Linked DNA regions of Drosophila melanogaster. The protein of the gene in region 1 interacts with the protein of each later gene in a pairwise test. Each region holds a gene or a part of one and is shown in the gene's direction. Other genes may lie near its edges.

Region 1 (5,931 bases):
GCTTGAAGGGCCACGAATGGGAGGATAGCGACAGCAGCAGCTCCGACGAGGAGTGCAGTGGCAGCGAGGAGGATATCTCCAGCAGCAGCTCGGACATGGACACGGATTAAGAATTTCCAGTGACTATATATTAAATTTGGTTAACAATTGTACACATGTATAAAAATGGAATATTTTCAACTGCTGAGTAAGCTCGAAATTCTCACAGCTCCAGAATCTCGGTGAGAATGCGTTGCGTATCCTTGGGAGTATATACCCTATGGCTGATGGTTCGAGGATCGCTATAGATCTCATAGTCATTGCCGCCCGGCTCCGTTTTATCGCCAAAGAAGTGGATTTCCTTGAACTTGTAGTGCGCTTCGATGTGTCGCAGGCAGTAGGTCTTGTCCCAACCATGCGGGAAGACATCGAAGCTGATCTGACCACCAATCGAGTACGTGAGATCCACATCGGCAAACTCCTGCTTCAGGTCCTTGATCATTTTCTCGCGCACCTTGTGCTCAATGTCGTACTCGGCGAACATGTTGCGCTCCTCCCGAGTGCACTGCCTGCCAATGGGACAAACGTTCATCATGCCATTCCGGAATTCGATAAAGGTGCCCCTCTTGATGGGCACATCCAGTTCGGACAGATAGCGCAGCACAAAGTTGATGAAACGCTTCACCGTCTCCTCGCCCAAATGCATGATGATATTCTGCTTTCCCACCTCCTTTCCGCCCTCAATCTGCACCAGCCCATTTTCCGGGAATATGAAGTCGAACTCGTTGAGTATCTTCCTGCCATTCAGCTGCTCGAACATCTTCTCCAGATCCGAGCCTCCGACGATTCCGATGGTCGCCCTCGGCTTAACCCGCGAGTAGAAGAACTCCTCGAACTCCGGAGTGACCACGGATCTGGGCATCGTTAACGTGCCGTCCACGTCGAAGAGCAGCAGGATTTCATCACGCTTCAATGCGGCGGTGGTCATTTTGCATTTAAATTTTGTGGTAAATCAGCAGGTGTTTAATATCCAGATATTTATGTCCACGTATGATTCGAGATAAAGAATTTTACAAGCGGCAACGCAGTGGTGAGAAATCCCCTAAAGCTTTCGATGCACCGGCAAGGGGAACCAGTTCCGGAATCCAAGTGCAATCAAAATTAATGTTTTGAATTGCCTTTTACGTTAGGTTTACTATTTAAAACAATGAGAGTATAAACATTCAAGCACAATCATTTGGATTTTCCTGCATGTATAGGTAACAGTTTAATTCATGGAGTTCATGCTGTCAGGGTACAAATAGTTTCTATTTTAATAGCAATTTGTACATTGCAGTTCTTTATCAGGCAAACTAGAATACACATATTTGGGTTCTTAAGTGTAGCATAACAGGGGGTTCTACTGCCTTTTAATGTGCTGCAGTTCATCTCTCTTGATTTTGCTGTATTCCTGCAGGGTTTTGTATTTCTCAGTGTTAACCATGGGGTCCACAATGACGGGGTATAGGGTGAGGCCCACGGCGCCCACGATGCAGGACACGAATCCAACGAATCTCCAACCACGCAGGACTGCCATTTAGCTAAAATATGGAATATTTTAGCTGACTTTTCGGTTTGTTATTATAAAACACAAAACACCTGGTTGACCGTAAGATGCTAGAAAACGCCAAGTGTGTGGTCACACTACTGTGGTCACCGGTGAAGTGCAGTAAATACTACAGAAGAGATAACCTGATAGAAAGTAAAATATAAATAAACAAGATTACTGTATATATAATAAAAATAGATATAGGTATAGATTAAACTAGAAATATCCTGAATGCTAAATATGTTTCTTGATTCATATCTCACTTAAGCATTCTCCACTGTGTGTACCTGTTGGTATTTTTTGAAATCATGTCTATTTCTGCCCGCTCTGGTTACACTGGCTTCCTTGAGCTGGGCTTGGGTGTGGTGTTTTGTTTGAGTAATTGTTTTTGCAGATAGATCTTTTTAGTTAATACACTTATTAATATTCTTATATCCCGAATATGGCTAGCAGCCTCGTTTTTGTGGCTCTAGTCGGCGCCTTATGTTTTACGCTCGCTAACGGTAAGTTGCGGCTGGAATACGAAAGTCGCCCATTTCTAGGGCGTTGGCATGAGTTAAAACCACGATTTTGCAGCACAACATCACTACGATGAGCACAAGACCACACGGATGGTGTGGTGCACCAAGAGCCAGGCGGAGCAGTACAAATGCCAGAACCTTACGGTGGCCATCGAGCGGGATCGGGCACTATTCGACGAGGTGTTCCTCAATCTCACCTGCTTCATGGCCTACAGTGCGGATGAGTGCATCCATCACATTGATCGCGAGAAGGCACACATCACCACGCTGGATGCGGGCGATGTCTTCACTGCTGGACGGTACAACTCCCTCATACCCATTATGCAGGAGAAACTGGAGGGCGGCTTTGCGGACTATCAATCCGTAGCCGTGATCAAGAAGGGATCTCTACCAGACTTGAACAATCTGCGCGACATGCGCAACAAGAGGGTGTGCTTCCCCTGGGTGGGCAGCTTGGCCGGTTGGATTGTGCCCATTCACACGGTGAGTAGAACTCCTCTTTTAAGTTGATTGTTTATTTGTTTCATTAGGCAACTAACAAACAAATTTTATCGTTTTGCAGCTCCAAAGGGAGGGCGGCATGGAAGTGGTGGACTGCAACAACCAGGTGAAGACGGCCGCCAGCTATTTCAATAATTCGTGTGCTGTGTACTCGCTTTCCGACAAACACAATCCAATTGGCGACAACTCCGATAAGTAATGACGCATAAAAGCCACAATTTTACACACATTAACTAACAACAAATCAATTTTCAAACCAGACTTTGTACGCTTTGCACTGGAAAGATACCCGGAGGACGCTGCTCATCTGCAGATCCCTACTTCGGCTACGAAGGCGCCTTCAAATGTCTGCTTGAAAAAGGAGATGTTGCCTTCTTGCGCCATTCGACTGTGAATGAAATGCTGCAAACCACCGAATTCAGTGAGTTACCAAAGGGAAACTTCTGAAAACCCATTACTGATCTAAGCTGCGTTTTTTAGAGAACATAGCACCCGACACTTTTGAGCTGCTGTGTCGTGATGGTCGTCGTGCCTCCATCAACGATTATCGCCAGTGTAATTGGGGCCAAGTGCCCGCCGATGCCATTGTCACATCTTCGGCTCGCAGCTTCAGCGATCGCAAGCAGTATCAGCAGTTTTTGAAGCGCATTGCCGAGCTGTACTCCGATGGCACACGTGATGATCAGAGCAGGCAGGGAGGACAAAGCTTCAACAGCCGCAACAACATCAACGATCAGAATGCCTATGGCCAGTTCGATAATAATGATCCGTACAGAACGCAGAATCAATACGATCAGTATCGCAGCGAACGATTGGACAGCAGTTTTGCAGAGGAAAGAAACCAGCAGGACGGCACGAACACTTCCATACTCTATGAGAAGTTCCGCATCTTCGAGTCGAAGCGCTATGGCAAGCCAAATTTGCTGTTCCAGGTAAGTGGATCATATTTTCCGTGATCCGAAATACATACTTAACATTCAATTGTTTTGTGACAGGATTCTAGTCGCGCTCTAACCGTGATTCCCGAAGATGATCAGTCATTTACCAAGTACCTAGGCCCTGCCATTAACTTTATCTACGGCATCCGTGAGTGTCCAGTTCCAGCGATGACGCTTTGCGTGACTTCGGAGAATGAGCTTGATAAATGCATCAAGATGAGGGTGAGTTGAAGAGTGAATATATGGATAGCAAGATGAGTTGATGATCCTTTACAAAAACACTTTTAGACTGCCTTGAAAGCTCACCTCCTGAAACCAGAACTCATCTGCAAGAAAATGCACTCCCACATCAACTGCATGCAGTTCATCGAAGCGGGCAAAGCAGACATCTCCGTTTTCGATGCCGGCGATGTCTACACTGGTGGCCTCAACTACGACCTGGTGCCCTTCATGTCGGAGGTGTACAATCTGGGCGAGCCCGAGTATTATGTGGTTGCCGTGGCCAAGGAGGATGATCCCGATACGGAGCTAACTTACCTGAAGGGTAAGAATACCTGCCATACGGGCATTAACACCGCCGCTGGCTGGACATATCCGATGGCGCTTTTCATCTCGAACGGCTGGATTCGTCCCTACGGATGCGATTCGGTTCGAGCTGCCGCGGAGTACTTCACCAAGTCGTGCGTGCCGGGTGCCATTAGCAATGAGTACAACACCGGTGTGCCCTACGACAGCATGTGCGATCTGTGTCATGGAACTAGCTATCGCTATTGTCGTCGCGATGCCTCCGAGGAATACTACGGGCACACGGGTGCATTCCGTTGCCTCGTCGAGGGCGGCGGTCACGTGGCCTTCATGAAGCACACCACGGTGATGGAAAGCACGGGCGGCAAACGCAAGGAATGGTGGGCCAGGAATGCCCTAAACGATGACTTTGAGCTGCTCTGCACGGATGGTACTCGTGCCGAGATCCAGGACTACAAGCGCTGCAATCTGGGCAAGGTTAAGGCCAATGCTGTGGTCACCCGCGGCGGAGTCAACTACAACGAGACCCAGATGAATGCCTACATCAATCTGCTGACCTATGCCCAACAACTGTACGGTCGCAAGGAAGTGGACGCCTTCAGTTTCAGCATGTTCTCCTCGCCGATCGGGCACTATGATCTGATCTTCCAGGACGCCACGCGGCAGCTGCAAGTAATTCCGCCCAATAAGCGCAGGTATGATGCCTATTTGGGCAGCGATTTTATGCGAGCACGCCGCATCACCGACTGCTATGCTGGTGCCTCCCAGTTGGCATTATCCGTGGGCCTGCTCCTCGTGGGTTCGCTGGTTGCAATGCTCTAAGCCACTAGACTCACTTAGATTTCAGAATTCTACAAGCATCTCTAGCACAAAGAGAAAACATATCAACATTTTTACATTCCAAATATGATTAAGTTAAATGTGAAATCCCTTCCGTCCGAAAATGAAACTCTAACTAGCCGAAAAATATCTGTTGAAGGCTATAGTTTATAATTTATAAAGTCCTGTGCCTTATTATAGTATTTGTTTGTGTACATACCAACTAAGACCGTCCAAAAAATGTACCTAGGAGATGTAAGCCGAATCTTTTACAACCGCTTATGTAAGTATACAAATAAAATAACTAGATAAAGGAGTTATTTTGCTTATTTTGAATTAGTATCATTTGAAGAATCCTAATATCTTGACCGCAATTGTAGCCGCCAAATTCAAATTGAATATGTGCGCTAACATCGCTTTGAAACATAGATGTTATTGAAATTTACGCTGGTAAATATTGCATTTAACCTTAAAACACTCTGTATTGTTTATAAAGCCAGTAAAATGTTTGAAATTAAAGAAAATAGCGTAGTTACAAGTTTCAGCGCAGTGTGACCGCTTGGCCGCATAAGCAAGGGTGGAACAGTGCCGCGAAACGACGGTCACACCCGCCTGCACACATCTGTGGAATTGTTAAATTTCGAAAGTCCGGAAAAACCGGACGGAACCTTTCACCTCGCTCTGGACCAGTGGCACCGCCCTCGAGTATCGCAAGATGTCTATTAACCTGCGCACCGTCTACGCCTTCGCCCGCGAGATGTACCCAAAGACCTCCAAGGAGACCATCCAATATGGAACAGCTGGCTTTCGCGGCAAGTGAGTAGTTGCCTCCATTAACGATCTTAATAATCATCATAATCATTATGCTAACACACCCACACGATGCACACGTTGGCGCATTTGATTAGCACACGGCGATTGTTGGTGGTTTTTTTTTTTTTTTGATAAATGGGCGGTTGCAGGGCTGTGATGTTGGAATTTGGCGTTTATTTTTAGATATTGTTCACCTTTTATCAATGGACATGCCCTTCTTTCGCCGTTATGTCTGCCTGTATGTGCG
Region 2 (4,993 bases), 8.7 Mb from region 1:
CAATATAAATTAAGTTGGCAGCTTCTGGCATTGAGAACAGTTTTCGGCAAAGCTGCTGAATGAATGAATGGCAGCCCTTTTATCAAGATTCTCAAGTTAATTTTGCTGAAGGATAAGAAGTTCGGGGAAAATGGGCGGGGAAATCGAGGAAAAACTGACATTGAAGACGAATTGTTCGCTCGGAATGAAGTGGAATTTTATTCCGGTGGGTGGAAAACTTTCCTTGACGATTGAATAAAACGCTGAACTGTTGGGAGAACTCAAAAGCACAATACTATTTTAAAATAGTATTACCAAAGATGTTGGATACCATAAATGAGTTAAGCACAAACTCCATTTGTTTATAAAAATATAATGTGCAAATATGATTTCCAATTTATTTATCCATAAATAATGAAAACATTTAAACATAATATTTGAATCTTATAAATTGTCTCTTTAAATATTAAGTTCGTAAATATATTTGAACGATCATTTACAAAATTAATTTTCTTCGTATAGTTTTGGAGTCACACAAAACATCGGCGAGAAATTTCTCGCATGCGATAAACAGTAAATATTGCACTGCTTGAAGCAGTGCTTCGCAAACTTGCGGCGCCTCTCAAACTGCTATTGTTGTGCTCTCTCCCTGAAAATTTTCTCTCTTTGAATTTTCCATTCTGTTTTTCATTTGCGGACCTGCGCTTTTCATTTGCCGGCATTTCTGGAGCAACAACAAAATTCCAGCGCTGAGTTTTCCCCCTGCCATGCCCCCCTTTTCGTATTTATATATTTAGCTCTCATTAAATATTTTCAACTAGAGCGAAAGATACTTCCGTTTCCTGTTTTATAAAAATAGTACTTGCCATATATAAATATACATATTTACTATGTATATAAATATTTGTAACTATATATGAGGTAAATACTTACTTGACTTAATATAACTAACTAGAAAATAATTCAAACTCCTTATCAAATTCAAAGTAAAATTTGGGAAAATCTACCATTTAGTTCTTCTATATATTATTATATATAAGATTATACTAAAAGTTCACTTTTCCGAGCGCTCACTGTAGGGTGTTTTTGTAGTGGGCCTAAAAATAGGAGACGCCACCACTCGTGAAAATTCTTGAAGAGCAGTTTGGGAAATTCCTTACCGAAAAGTTATATATGGCCGAAAAGAGATTTGCCTTGCGCCATTGTTTAGTGAATTGAATTTTGGTTCAGTGTGTATTTGTTTTTGGAAAAACAAGGTGAAATTGCTTTTGAAGTGCGGTTGCTTCTTGTTTTTCTTTCGCTTCCCTCGAAAAGATTTTCATTTGCCGATTGCCTCATTGGATTTTGAGGTATTAAAGTTTTCGAGAGGGGAATTAGTATCGCATTATTTGGATGTTTCTGGTGCGGAATGCAAATTGATTTTCAATAGTTTTTCGACATTTTCCAGCTCGCCAGAGGAGGCGGCTTTCCACCCAAATTGGCAATTATCATCGGGTGGCGGAATTTGTGGGTGCGAAATGCAAATCAATGGGCAAATCTAATTCAATTTGAGTTCCTATAATCAACTGCTGTGAATGTGAAATGAAAGGCAGACGAAGTTCACTCGTCACTTGATTCAACGTCGTTTATTAATTTGATTTATATGACTTAATGATTAACCAAATATTTATCATATTGAAAAAGATTGACCATTTCGATTAAAAACAAAGATACAACTATATTATCTTTGTAATAATATTTCGATGCTGTTTATATAGCCACGTGTAAATACGATATGTTATCAAGAAATTTATTAATAGATATAAAATCGAGTTTGGCGCCAAATTAAATTTTGAATTTCCAGCCGCTCTCTTCTCGAGTGTGACCGCGCTGCCGACAAATGCCGCGAAACGGTGCAAATTCGGCCTTATCGGCCGCTAAGCAGCTGGCCACACTGCGGCATATAAACAATTTTTTGTCACAATTTTTTTGAGAGCAGACGAACGCACATCGAACGCCAATTGGGGATCGTAAAGTCGGAAAAACAGCGTCGCGCTCGCTTCGAAATAGAAAAAAAACACAATAAACATTAGGTCAAAATCGCATTGGCAATCTTTTAAGTTTCGATTTGATTTAATTTCGCGGTGCAAAGCGAAAGAGAATTTTGAAACGTTTGATTTTTGTTGTTTCGCCGCTCTCTTCGTTGTTGTTCTTTTTGTTGTTTTTTCCGGCGCGTCGTTTGGCGTTTTTAGTGTATGCGTGCGTGTGTGTGCGTAACTACGTGCAGCTGTGTGCGTGCTTCAGTTTGATTTAAATAAATTATTAGTGAAAAGCAGCTGAGAAGAGTAAAGAATACGAAAAAGTGCAAGTAAACGCAATAAAAATATTGCACATTAAATAATCAACAAGTGTAAGTGCAAAGCAAGTGATGTGCAAAATGCAAGAGCAGAGAAAAGAAAATAAAAGCAGAGAAAATGCAGAAAGGAAAATTGTTGTAACTTTTTAACAGCCCAATATCGAATTTAAGTGGCTATTAAAAATCGAAGATCGAGGCAAAGTGCAAAAGGCAACAAAACTACGAAAGCGCCCAAAAGGAAAATCCGGTTTTACAACTTCTCTCTTCACACACTAAACACACACATACAAAACACTCACACTCACACCAGCGAACAATCGAATTCTCTCTGAGAAACTAAAACTAAAATTCCTTTGCTGGGTTTTAATGAATTTTCTATGGGAATTTCACCAGCTAACGAGCAGCTAAAAAAATAATAATCGTAGATAAACAAATAGTGTGAATGAAAAATCAGCTGCGACAGGTGATGCAAAACAAAATACGCAAGGTGCAAAGAAAAAAAATACTTTCATGTGAATTCGATCACAGTGAACGCTCAGTAAAGAAGGAAGCTATTATCTGATCATATCATTATATTATTTAATTTAGAAAACAACTTTTAAAAATTACTTTAGATAATTAACTCATATGCTCATATCATTTGAAGTGCTAGAAAGTTTAAATAAATAGTTATCCATTTTAAAGCTCCACTGTATCTCAAGTATTTAAAAAACCATCCAGAAAAGTGAAATCAATAACAAAAGAATTTGAAAAAAGCGGAAAGAGCGGTCATAAAAATAGTATAAACAGAAAATAACAATAAACCAGTCAAAAAAATAAGCAGTTACCTGTCTCACTCTCTCTTTCCTTAATTCAAACATTTGCGTAAACAATAACCGCTTTACAGTAATTTCGGGCACCTGCTTTTTGTTTACACAAATGCATAAATATGTTGAATATGAATAAATTAATTCATTCAGCGTGTACGGGGCACGCTGCCTCGCTAAATGGAATTTTCACACGAAAAGTGGGAAATATGTGAAGAAAATATAGCGCCAACTTGTGTTATCTTATCCGTAACACAATTTTAATGATGGTGCAATTGAAAAAAATAGCAGAGAAATGTGCTACAATTGCTTCCTTATCAAAAAAGGTATTACCTGCCGGAAAGAGATAGTGGTAGTAGTGATAGGCGGGGAAAGAAAGAGATGGGTGTACGGTGTAGGAAATTACATATTTCATTATTTCCTCGCCCGATTTTTCCGACCAAATATTTTTATCTACTTACAATGTTGTCTAGACAGATTCCTTCGCTTTTCTTCCGTTTTTTTGTTGTGCCACCCATTTGTATATGTATGTACATAGATGTGTATAGGAAAAGTCTGGTAGTGGTGTGTATACTGCGAGATTTCGCACCCTCTCCTAGGATTTTCCTCTGCCGCCGCCTTTACTGCTTTTTGTTGTGCTCCAGACTTCAGTTTACTCCACTTTGCGACGACTTTCGACCCCCCCCCACACCCACAGCAGTGGCAGGCCCTTTTGTGAAGCACCCCCCTTTGCAGCATCCAGCAACCCCCAAAACGCATTCTCTGCTCCCTTTTATTGCCTTTCCTTGTTGTTTTCGGACAGTGGTGCTTGCCTAATTGAAACTAAGGCTGTCATAAGAAAAGAAGTCAAGACAAAAACTACACTTAGTTTATTCTGGGATTACCCAGCTATTAAACACAAATTGAAATATTGTGTAATTATAAACAACAGGACATTTTTCGAGATTCCAAATTCTTTGTTTACTGTAGAGCATCAGCTGTTATAGTCAGCTGACTCAACCGAAATGCACAGTGTGACCATGCTGAGCAACTAAAATAAAAAATTTTTGGAATCCCCGTCAGTTTACCATGTAGTTTACTAAAAATTCCTTAGATAATTGCATACTGTGGTGTTTGGCTTTGTGGGCGCCGTTTGCGCGCAATTTTAAATTTATGCGAACGTTCTGTCACCCTCTCTTTCTCCCTTCATATGCCCATCTCTTTCCCTTCTCCGGGATAAAGAAGTTTTGCCGAAACAACAAAAACAGCGGAGGATGACGACTCTTGTCCACCGTTTTGTTTGTGTTTTTGTCCATTGGTTTTTGCTGTCTGCCGCTGTTTTGCTTTTGTTGCTGCCATTGTCGTTGCAACGTCGGAAAGAGACGGAGCTACTGGGGAGCGACAAAGAGGGGTGCTGCAGACAGAGATAGCGAATTCCCAGTGAATTGTGAATTGCGTTCCATTAGCAGCAACCCCGAACACTTGTGCTTGTGGACTGTGCTGCATGGGCACAGTGGAATGGGTTGTATGACAATTGGAGGTATTACTGTGCACAATCGCAATATTTTCCCAATTTAATATTAGCAGATTGGCATTTAAAAAGGAATTTTTCTGTAGCTTAAACAAACCATTTCTGCACCTGATAGCTAATCCACCCCTAATTGCCCACTGTGCATCCCACTGTGCGACAGCTGCTGGTCAAAAGAGCTGATTGTTGTTGGTTTTGCCATTGCTGCTGTTTCGGTTTTTGTTGCCTTTTCTGTTTGTTGCTGCCTCCGTACTTCCTCCATCTCTGCCCCCCTTTCCTTCGTTCATTGAAATTTTCTTGCGGCGTTCGACAAATTTGTTGTTTAAAGTCGCGTGTGCTGGAAGTTGTTATTGGTATATTTTTGTT

Evidence for each region.
Region 2: the proteins of Tsf2 (region 1) and CG32264 interact in a two-hybrid assay, tested with the Drosophila melanogaster proteins (one large-scale study listed by BioGRID).

Annotation. Positions count from the first base shown.
Region 1 is NT_037436.4:12,529,691-12,535,621, reverse strand, and holds Tsf2 (transferrin 2), read left to right. Parts: upstream 1-1,897; 5' UTR 1,898-2,009; coding exon 2,010-2,070; intron 2,071-2,143; coding exon 2,144-2,571; intron 2,572-2,650; coding exon 2,651-2,784; intron 2,785-2,849; coding exon 2,850-3,010; intron 3,011-3,069; coding exon 3,070-3,521; intron 3,522-3,584; coding exon 3,585-3,749; intron 3,750-3,815; coding exon 3,816-4,874; 3' UTR 4,875-5,186; downstream 5,187-5,931. Other genes in the region: CG4069 (uncharacterized protein), read left to right, coding at 1-110; Pmm2 (phosphomannomutase type 2), read right to left, coding at 203-967; CG34242 (uncharacterized protein), read right to left, coding at 1,379-1,555; nst (nesthocker), read left to right, coding at 5,587-5,687. UniProt on the Drosophila melanogaster protein: Iron-binding protein and component of septate junctions that form the paracellular permeability barrier in epithelial tissues.
Region 2 is NT_037436.4:3,784,932-3,789,924, reverse strand, and holds the start of CG32264 (uncharacterized protein), read left to right. Parts: upstream 1-1,964; 5' UTR 1,965-2,368; intron 2,369-4,993.